Oryctolagus cuniculus: one gene and its partner. The protein of the gene in region 1 purifies or fractionates together with the protein of each later gene. This does not show direct contact. Links are inferred from orthologs where the notes say so. Each region holds a gene or a part of one and is shown in the gene's direction. Other genes may lie near its edges.

Region 1 (4,347 bases):
GGGGCAGGATCGGGCCAGGGCCGCTGGTGGCCTAAAGGGAGAGGACCTGCGTTTTGTAAGCAGTCTGGGCTGAGGCTCTTGAAGAACTGGGGTCAGGAATCCAGAAGCTGACAGCCTGAGTCGGGGCTCCTCGGTTCTGGAAGGGAGACTTTGATTGGGCGGGGCTGGGTGCTTCCATCACCTAGGCACAGGGGCGGCCTGGATTTCCCGGATGCCCCTTGGAAGGCAGAGGGTGATGGCCCCAGGGGTTGGGTCCCCGCCGCTCACATGGGAGACCCGAGGGAGTTCCTGGCTCCTGGTGTCAGCCTGATCCAGTTCCAGACGCTGGCTGGGGCAAGGTCAAGTAGGGGGCAGCTCCGAATCTCCATCTCTGATCCAGGTGGGAGCTGGGGCACATTTTGGGGAGCAAAGTTATGGACCGGCTAGGGGAAGAGGGACAGGGGATTGGCTCTGTGTCCCTGGGCCTGGCGCTCAGAGCAAATGCTTCCCACTCCCAGGAGGGAGTCACCCAGTCCTAACCAAAACGTGCACCCTAAAAAGTAATTTCTTCAGGTGTTGTGGAGCAGGGGCTTCAGCTGCCGGCTGGGACACTCACACCCCCACCAGAGGGCTGGTGCGAGGCCGGCCACTCAGCTAATGCCCCCTGGAAGGCAGAGGGTGATGGCCCAGGGCTTGGCCCCCCCACACCTCACATGGGAGACCCGAGGGAGTTCCTGCCTCCTGGCTTCAGCCGGATCTAGTTCCAGCTGTCTCTGTCATTCTACCTTTAAAATAAACAAATCTTTAAAAATATACATAGGTAATATATACAGACACTTTAAGGCCAACCGGAACCCCACGTCAGAGCGCGGGTTCCAGCCCCAGCTGCTCTGCTCATCCAGTTCCCACCTGAGCAGACAGGTGAAGGCCCCAGGGCCCCTCCAGCCTCGGGGGAGACCTGGGTGGAGCTTCTTGCTCCTGGTTCTGACCCGGCTTGGTCCTGGCTACTTGCAGCCATTTAAGGAGTGAACCAGCAGATGGAAGCTCTCTCTCTCTCTCTCTCTCTCTCACGCTATCAAATAAATAAATAATAAATACTTTATTAAGAAAATATTTAAGGCCATGGTTACATCGAACAGTAAATCAGTAGGCGAAATGCCGACTGTGCAGTGCAGCCCCGCGAATACAGCCGAGCAGGGGCCGGCCTGCCCGCTAGGAGGCTGGACGCTGCAGTGACCACCTTGGGCAAGTGGAACGGGGACACGGCCACCCCCGTCCGCCAGCGACCGCAGGCTGGGGCCCGCCGCCTACGCTGGGCTGGGGAGCCATCGCGCAGAGCTGAGCCAGGGGCACGTGCGTGACGGACAGCCCGTCCGGAAAGGCCGCCGTGACGTCACAGGCCTGGAATCCCCGCGAGAAGTCCCGGTTCCCTTTTCGCTTCCCCGCCCGCGGAGGCGGGCTCCCGAAGCCCCGCCCCGCGTGACGTCAGCGCGCCGGCCTATAAAAGCGCCGCGAGCGGCGTCCGTGCTCCACCGCTCAGTCGCCAGCCAGCACCGTGGAAGATTACATGCGAGACGCCCGTTCGCCGCCACTGCGCTTGCGACCGCCGGTGGGACCAAGTGTCCTCGAGCCTCACGCCTGAGGGCGAGATGAACGCGCTGGCTTCCCGAGCCGTCCGGACCTACGATCGCTTCTGGCAGCCCGAGCCGGCGCTCCTGCCTCCGGGGTGACGAGCAGGCCCCAGACGGTGAGCGAGGGGCGCCGGGGAGCTGGGGGCTAGGGCCGGGCTCCCGGGACTAGAGGGTTCGGGGCCGGGACTCGAGCTCGGGTCCTGAGGGAGGCAGGGCCTGGGGCGGGGTAGGACCGGGGGTGGGGGTCTCCGGGGCGTGGAGGAGGGGGCCGGGGCCCGCAGCTTGGGAAGGCGGGAGGGTTGGGAGTCTTGGAGCTTGAGCCTGCGAGACAGACCCTTGGGTCCCCAAGGAAGCCGCGGCGGGGCTGGGGGTGTCGGGAGGTACGGAGCCCCCAGGGAAAGATGGCGGCCTGATTTGTCAGTGCCCAGGGCGGTGAGCGACCTGCGTCCCCACGGGGAGCGAGGAGAAGGCCTTTGTTCTTGGTTCTCCTGGGTCTGAAGAGAGGAGGGGTCGGGGGTCTGGACGCTCGGACCCAAGGGTGGACCGAGCCGGGCCCCAGAGCGCGAGAGGGGCGTGGCCGGCGTCAGGAATCCCGAGCTGCGCCTGTTGCTAATTCCGGCGGCCTGACTCACGGTCACGCCCCGCGCCAGCCCCAAATGGCCCCTCAACTTTATTTCCTTTCCTTCTCCCCCTTTTCCAGCCCAGACAGATGGCGCCCGGCCAGGTGCCGCATCATGGCGCCCCCTGGGGGGACGCCCACCCCTTCTTCCTCCTGTCCCCGCTGATGGGCTTCCTCAGCCGGGCCTGGAGCCTCCTGAGAGGCCCAGGACCTCCGCAGCGCTGGCTGCTGGAACATCAGGTCGAGGCTGGCCTGGAGGCGCCCGTGGCCGCCCGTGGAGCCCCCTGGGGGGCTGGAGGCAGCGGCAGGACACCCTGCCTCAGGCGGAAAGGCTGCCTGCCTGAGGCCCCGGGACTTGCAGATGACGATGACGAAGAGGCAGCCAGTGTCGAACAGGGAGGGCAGCTTGCAGCCGGCCAGCCTGCTGCCCTGTGCCCCAGCCTGTGGGGGGGAAGCCTGCGCGGGTCTGATAAGAACCCTGGGGCGGAGGAAGCGGAGAGAGGGGGCGTGGCCCCGGTCTCTTATCCCTGGTCAGGGGGGGAGCCCCGCACAGAGGATGGAGACGCCCCCAGCGCCGCCAGTTCCCCGACTCCAGGACCCGAGCCCAGCAGAGGGGCGCGCTGCCCAGGGGACGGCGGGGCCCGAGCCACGGAGGAGGAAAGAGCAGGAAGCCAGGAAGGCAGGAGGGCCTCCGATCCGGCCTCGGATTCCAGCGCCGAGCCCAGGCCCCGGGAGCCTTGTTCAGGAGAGGAAAGCAGGGAGACAGGGGAAGGGGTGCACGGAGCAGCCGGGAGAGGAGACGCCGGCCCCGGGCCACGCTGCCTGGCGCCCCTTCGGAGGCCCCTGCTCAGTCAGTCCGGCAAGGACCCAGAGGAAGAAGACAGTGAGGAGGAGGAGGGCCCTGCTGACAGGGCAGCTGAGGAGGAGGGAGGAGCTGAGGCTTCCTCTCCCACCCGTGCAACAAGTGCCTTGGTGAGGGCCTGGGTGTGTCGGCCAGGAGAGGACACGGAAGATGACAGCGACGAGGGATCAGCTGAGGAGGATGGAGAAGCTGAGGAGTGGGGAGAAGCTGAGGTTTCCTCTCCCACCCGTGCAACAAGTGCCTTCGTGAGGGCCTGGGTGTGTCGGCCAGGAGAGGACACGGACGATGACAGCGACGAGGGATCAGCTGAGGAGGATGGAGAAGCTGAGGAGTGGGGAGAAGCTGAGGTTTCCTCTCCCACCTGTGCAACAAGTGCCTTCGTGAGGGCCTGGGTGTGTCGGCCAGGAGAGGACACGGAAGATGACAGCGACGAGGGATCAGCTGAGGAGGAGGGAGGAGCTGAGGAGTGGGGAGAAGCTGAGGTTTCCTCTCCCACCCATGCAACAAGTGCCTTCATGAGGGCCTGGGTGTATCGGCCAGGAGAGGACACAGACGATGACAGCGACGAGGGATCAGCTGAGGAGGATGGAGAAGCTGAGCCCCCTGCCTTCCGAGTGGCCGTCTACCTACCTGGAGAGAAGCCACCCCCTCCGTGGGCTCCTCCTAAGCTGCCCGTCCGGCTGCGAAGGCGGCTCAAGGTCTCAGAGGCCCCGGCCCGCGGTCCGGACCCTGAGACTCCCCTGGCCAGAAAGGTGGGTGCCGAGGGCCCTGGGCCTTGAGGCTCGGGGAGGAGGGGGCTGGGAGTGGGAAGGCCTGGGCGGGGGAGGAGGGCTGCCGGCCGGGACTGCTGGGCGCCCGTGTTGCACAGGATTGCGTGTGCACTGTCGGGAGAGCTGTCACGCACTGCTGCGTGAGAGGCGGGGCCCCGGGGGGAGAGGCAGCAGCTGCGGCACCCGGCCGCGCGGGGATCTGCTCTGGTGGGCATTCGTCCTGCCTCACTGCTCTCTGGTTCTCTCCTCCCCCTCCTGGATGCCCGTCTTTGCATGGCCGTGCTGTCCACCTCCAGGTGCGCTTCTCTGACAAGGTCACCGTCCATCTCCTGGCTGTGTGGGCGGGGCCGGCCCAGGCTGCCCGCAAGGGCCCTTGGGAGCAGTTCGCCAGGGATCGGAGCCGCTTTGCCCGCCGCATCGCCCGGGCCCAGGAGGAGCTGGGCCCCTGCCTCAGCCCTGAACCCCGGGCCAGAGCCTGGGCGCGCC
Region 2 (4,509 bases), on another chromosome or scaffold:
CAGACCGTCACATTCACAGCTGATTTTCTGCTTCCTCAGTAGAGGTGGGGGGAGGGAGAGAGGGGAGAGAGGGAGAAGGAGGGAGAGAGAAAAAGAGGAAGAGAGAGGGAGGGAGAAGGGAGGAGGGAGGAAGGGAGGGAGAAGGGAGGAGGGAGGAAGGGAGGAAGGGAGGGAGGGGGGAGGGGACAGGGAGAGAGAGAGTGGGGAGGGAGAGAGAGGGAGGGGGAGGGAGGGGAGAGGGAGGGGGAGTGAGAGGTGGGGGAGAGGGGTGGGGGGAGGAAGAGGGAGGGAGGGAGGGAGAGGGGGAGGTGGAAACGGAAGGAGGGAGAGAGGGAGGGAGGGAGGGAGAGAGAGAGAGGCAGCACACAAATGCAAACGCTTTACTCTCCCCATAGCTGTTAGGCCCATTTCAGGCGATGTCCAACTCTTCTTACAAACTGGCCAGACACCTGCAGAGCTAAGTTGTTTCTCCCGACAAAGTGTTCTGCCCAAAAGAGAAAGGCGGCCCACCAGTGAGCAGATTCCAGGGGAACTTTGGGGCCTTTCTGTGAGCTCATAATCAAGACACGGGCGTCTGGTGGGAGAGTTTGACATGCAAACTTGGCAGTGTGGTGAGTGGCACAGAAACACGGGCCATGTTCCCATAGCAGGGGCCGCTAGGTCAACGAGGATGGCACTGCAAGATCCAAGCCAGCGCCCACGCCGGCGCAACTCCCCGCTCTGATATACCAAACTCTTCTGTATGCTTCCCATGGCAATCAACTAGCCTTCTCGGAGCCGGTTTACCAAACCTCCTTTTCTCTCTCTTCACTATAAACTGAGTTCTGTAAGGGCAAGAGGTGGCGACGGTGCAGTCACTTAGGAAATTAAAAAAAAAAAAAAAAAAAGCCGGTGGACAACTGAATTCAAAGATGTGTGTTTGGGTGCACAGCATTTCTGAATCCCGTGCACAGTTTTGCATAACATGCATCTTCCCCGACGCTGCGTAAATCCAGTGCCCGGCCCAGTGAGGGTTCGCGGAACACCGAACGGTTCCATTAGGGAGTAAAGACAGCGGACCTTCACACGATCGGCAGTCCGGCCGCGTTTTCCTGTCCAGCCTGACTCATTCAGAAGGAAAGTGAGGGACCCCGACTCTCAAAAAGAACCTGGGTCGGCCCTAGAAACAAGGACCCTCCGCGCAGGCTTTCCCGACCCTACGAGAATGAAACACCGCTCACCCGCCCCCTTTTACTTACATTCGCGAGGGGAAGATTTCAATTCGGTCTTTGCCAGACATTCTGACGATGGCTGACTGGCTTCGGTACCCCGCCGGGAAACCGTGGCTGCAACAGCTCCAGGACTGGCCGCCCCAGCGCCTTCCTCTACCGGAGTCAGCTGGTTCTGTCAGATGACCCCGCGCGTTGCTAAGAGGCAGCGAGGATACCCATCGCTCACTTCCGCTTCCGGTTGTCAGGGCGAGGAGGGGTGGGGTGCTGGACGAGGGCAATGCCCGGATGTGGAGGCGCGCGCACCGCGGAACTACCTCTCACTTCCGGTTCGCCTCCCCACACTCCTCCTCAGCCCAACTCTCCCGCGACTGCGCAGATCGCAGCACGCGCCGGGGTAGGGGGAGCGAGAAAGGAGAGAAGAGGACACTCTGTCTCTGCTTCCGTTTTACGTCGTTGGTCACAGCGCCATCTCATGGTTGGCGAAAACTTACAGCGAGGATTCCTACTCAAGGGCAAGGAATTATGGTCCCACCTCGTCCCTGGGCCTTGAAAGTTACTTAGCAAAAATTAAAGATCCTGAGAAAACGTGCTTTTCAGGATCTCCTAGGAATCATAGTACTCGGAGGACCCACGCTCTATAGTCAGTTGTGAAGAGCGCCGCTAGTCTGTCGGCGCCTGCGCGGGACAAGGCGGCTCCGCATGCGCGGTGGAGTTGAGCGAAGCGCACGCTGAGGTTCGGCGGCTGGTGCGGCTGGATCAAGTCCGATCTCTGCGATTGGAAGGCGCGACGCGGGACCCCGGTGTGGGATTCACACGCATACTTCAGGTCGCTAACCGCGTGGCTCGGTTTCTCCAAGATCTCGCTTTGGGTTGTGTCCGCTGACATGTGTGGTCAAGAGAGGGTAGGCCCCGGGCCGAAGCCCCCACCCTTTCCCGTGCCTGCGCGGGAAGTGTGGACACCGCGGCCGCCACCCTCGGGCTGTGTCCTGGGCCGAGTGGCTTGTACAGCCTCTGCAATATGCCCAAAGTGGGGCTCCCCCGAGGTGGGGCCCTGGCCACCCTGCCTCCGCCCCCGGGACGCCCAGCTCTGCTTTTTCCGGCTCCCAGCTTGCATCTTTTTTTTTTTTTGAAATCAAACCAATCTCTTCTCTAAGGATAGGTGTTGAGAACATCTGGGCCCATAAAGTGCCTTATTAATCTGATTTTTGAGAACGTAGCCTTATTGCCTTTTCGCTCTAGTTGTGCATTTCTGTAGGATGAGTCACAACTCGAACTGAAACTAAATCTTGGGACCCAGGAGTCTCTTACTGTTACTGTCGGTTTGCAGTATCCTGCTAACGATGGATCTTTGTAGTATTCTGGTCGTACAGTTAGTCGTAACGAAAAGCTCAAGGTAGGGAAAGACTAAGCTTAAATACGAATTCACCCCAAATCCTTGTAACCCTGAAACTTAGCCTGCCTTATACAGTTTTTGTTCAGCAGGGAACACTTCTTGGAGAAGTAATACAGCGGAGACGTCTCGATTTGTTTTTTTCTCCCCTCTATTGAGTTGTTAGTTAAGGGGAAAAAAGAACTTCTAACTGACTCTCATGGGTTACTTAAATAGAGCTTCCTACCTCAGTTTGCTTCCCGTCAAGTGACAGGTACCGATTCTCAGACTGTGCAGTTGAGTGGGACTTCCGGTATCAGCTGCAGGTAAGCGTGCGGCACTCCTGTGCCTAGAACTCGCATTCAGAGAGAGCACAGCTGCTGAGTAAGTGCTGGAGCCGACAGAATCGTCACGTAGCACATCCTACCCTGCAGAGAAATGTCGACTTCCTGTGCCCCGGACGGTGCCTGCCTGTGCGCTCGTGTGAGGAGGCAGCTCTGGGGCAGACAGCTAGCATGGGGTTTAACATGCTGCCTGGGATTCCCGCGTGCTGGAGTGTGTGGATTCAAGCACTGGCCCTGTCGCATTCCAGCTTTTCTGCTCGTGGGCACCCTGGGAGGCAGCAAGTGATAGGTCAAGTACTTGGGTCCCTGCTGTCCTTGTGGGAGACCCTTGGGGCGTTTAGAGGGTAAACCAGTGGATGGGAGATCTCTGTCTGCCTGTTAAATAAGTAAGTAAACACTTAAAAAAAGTCATATGGCAAACATACAATGTGAGGTGTTTGGAGTTGGGTTAAGATATTTTGAAAGATGGATTTTTTTGCATCAGAACACCTTAACAGTGTTGTCCTCTGTCACACTGAGACTCTGAGAAGCCCTCAATGTAAGGTCAGAAGACTTACATTTAGCTCCTGCTCTAGTCTGTATTAAGCATTTGTCCTTGAGGAGGACGTTTAATATTTCTATTCTTTGATAATTGATTGCTTCACTGTGCTGCTTTCTTAGTACTCTGTATTGTAATTATTTGCTTACTAGTTTGTTTCCTACTCCATATTTACACCTTAGGTACTGGGGGGAAAATTGATTAATGCAGTAAATTACAAAATGGAAATAATACTTCTTTGCCTTTTTTTTTTTTTTTTTTTAAAGAGAGAGGGAAAGAAAGCATTCACTAATTTCACTCTCTAAATTTCCAAAATGACTTGTAGTAGGCCCAGGCAACCCAGGTCTCCCATATGGATGACAGGAACCCAATAACCAGCCATCCCCACTGCTTCCCAAGGCCTGGATCAGCCAAGTATTGAACCCAAGCATTCTGGTCTGGGACACAAGCATGTTAATTAGCATCTTTAAGGTTAGGCTAAATGCCTGTCCCTCCTTTGCCTTTTAATACCTTATGTTTGTGTAACACATTACACTTTTTAAAATGTTGTTGCATACATTTGATTGCATTGGATAGACCCATCACATCTGTGAAGTATATGGCACAAAGGAGAAACCAGAGATGAAAAGGGACACCTTCCCAGACAACCACACCTCAGAGGCAGGTGCGCAGGACTGGAACCCAAATTTAGGGCTGCTCCCAGATTTCACCATGACGCGTGATACTTGTTTGACTCAACATTGTTTTTGGAGACCAAATAAAATAAGGCAAGATGCTATGAAAATGATGAAAGGGCCAGATAAATCATGTGATTTCTCTTCAGCTAAGGAAAAAAAAGGTTTAAAAAAAAAACCTTACAAGAAAATTATCCTTTTCTTTCCATTTTTTTCTTTATTTATTTGACAGATAGAGTTAGTGAGAGAGAGACAGAGAGAAAGGTCCTCCCTCCGTTGGTTCACCCCCCAAATGGCTGCCACGGCCGGAGCTACACTGATCAGGAGCCAGGAGCCGGGTGCTTCCTCCTGGTCTCCCATGCAGGTGCAGGCA

The links.
Region 2: the proteins of PPP1R15A (region 1) and EIF2S1 purify together in Homo sapiens (affinity purification with western blotting; 4 studies listed by BioGRID and IntAct, with this or other methods). This does not show direct contact. The link is inferred for Oryctolagus cuniculus from reciprocal best matches to the Homo sapiens genes PPP1R15A and EIF2S1.

Annotation. Positions count from the first base shown.
Region 1 is NC_091449.1:8,337,788-8,342,134, reverse strand, and holds the start of PPP1R15A (protein phosphatase 1 regulatory subunit 15A), read left to right. Parts: upstream 1-1,510; 5' UTR 1,511-1,726; intron 1,727-2,310; 5' UTR 2,311-2,319; coding exon 2,320-3,843; intron 3,844-4,157; coding exon 4,158-4,347. UniProt on the Homo sapiens protein: Recruits the serine/threonine-protein phosphatase PPP1CA to prevents excessive phosphorylation of the translation initiation factor eIF-2A/EIF2S1, thereby reversing the shut-off of protein synthesis initiated by stress-inducible kinases and facilitating recovery of cells from stress.
Region 2 is NC_091451.1:13,211,512-13,216,020, forward strand, and holds the start of EIF2S1 (eukaryotic translation initiation factor 2 subunit 1), read left to right. Parts: upstream 1-1,494; 5' UTR 1,495-2,037; intron 2,038-3,704; exon of another isoform or gene 3,705-4,509. UniProt on the Homo sapiens protein: Member of the eIF2 complex that functions in the early steps of protein synthesis by forming a ternary complex with GTP and initiator tRNA. This complex binds to a 40S ribosomal subunit, followed by mRNA binding to form a 43S pre-initiation complex (43S PIC).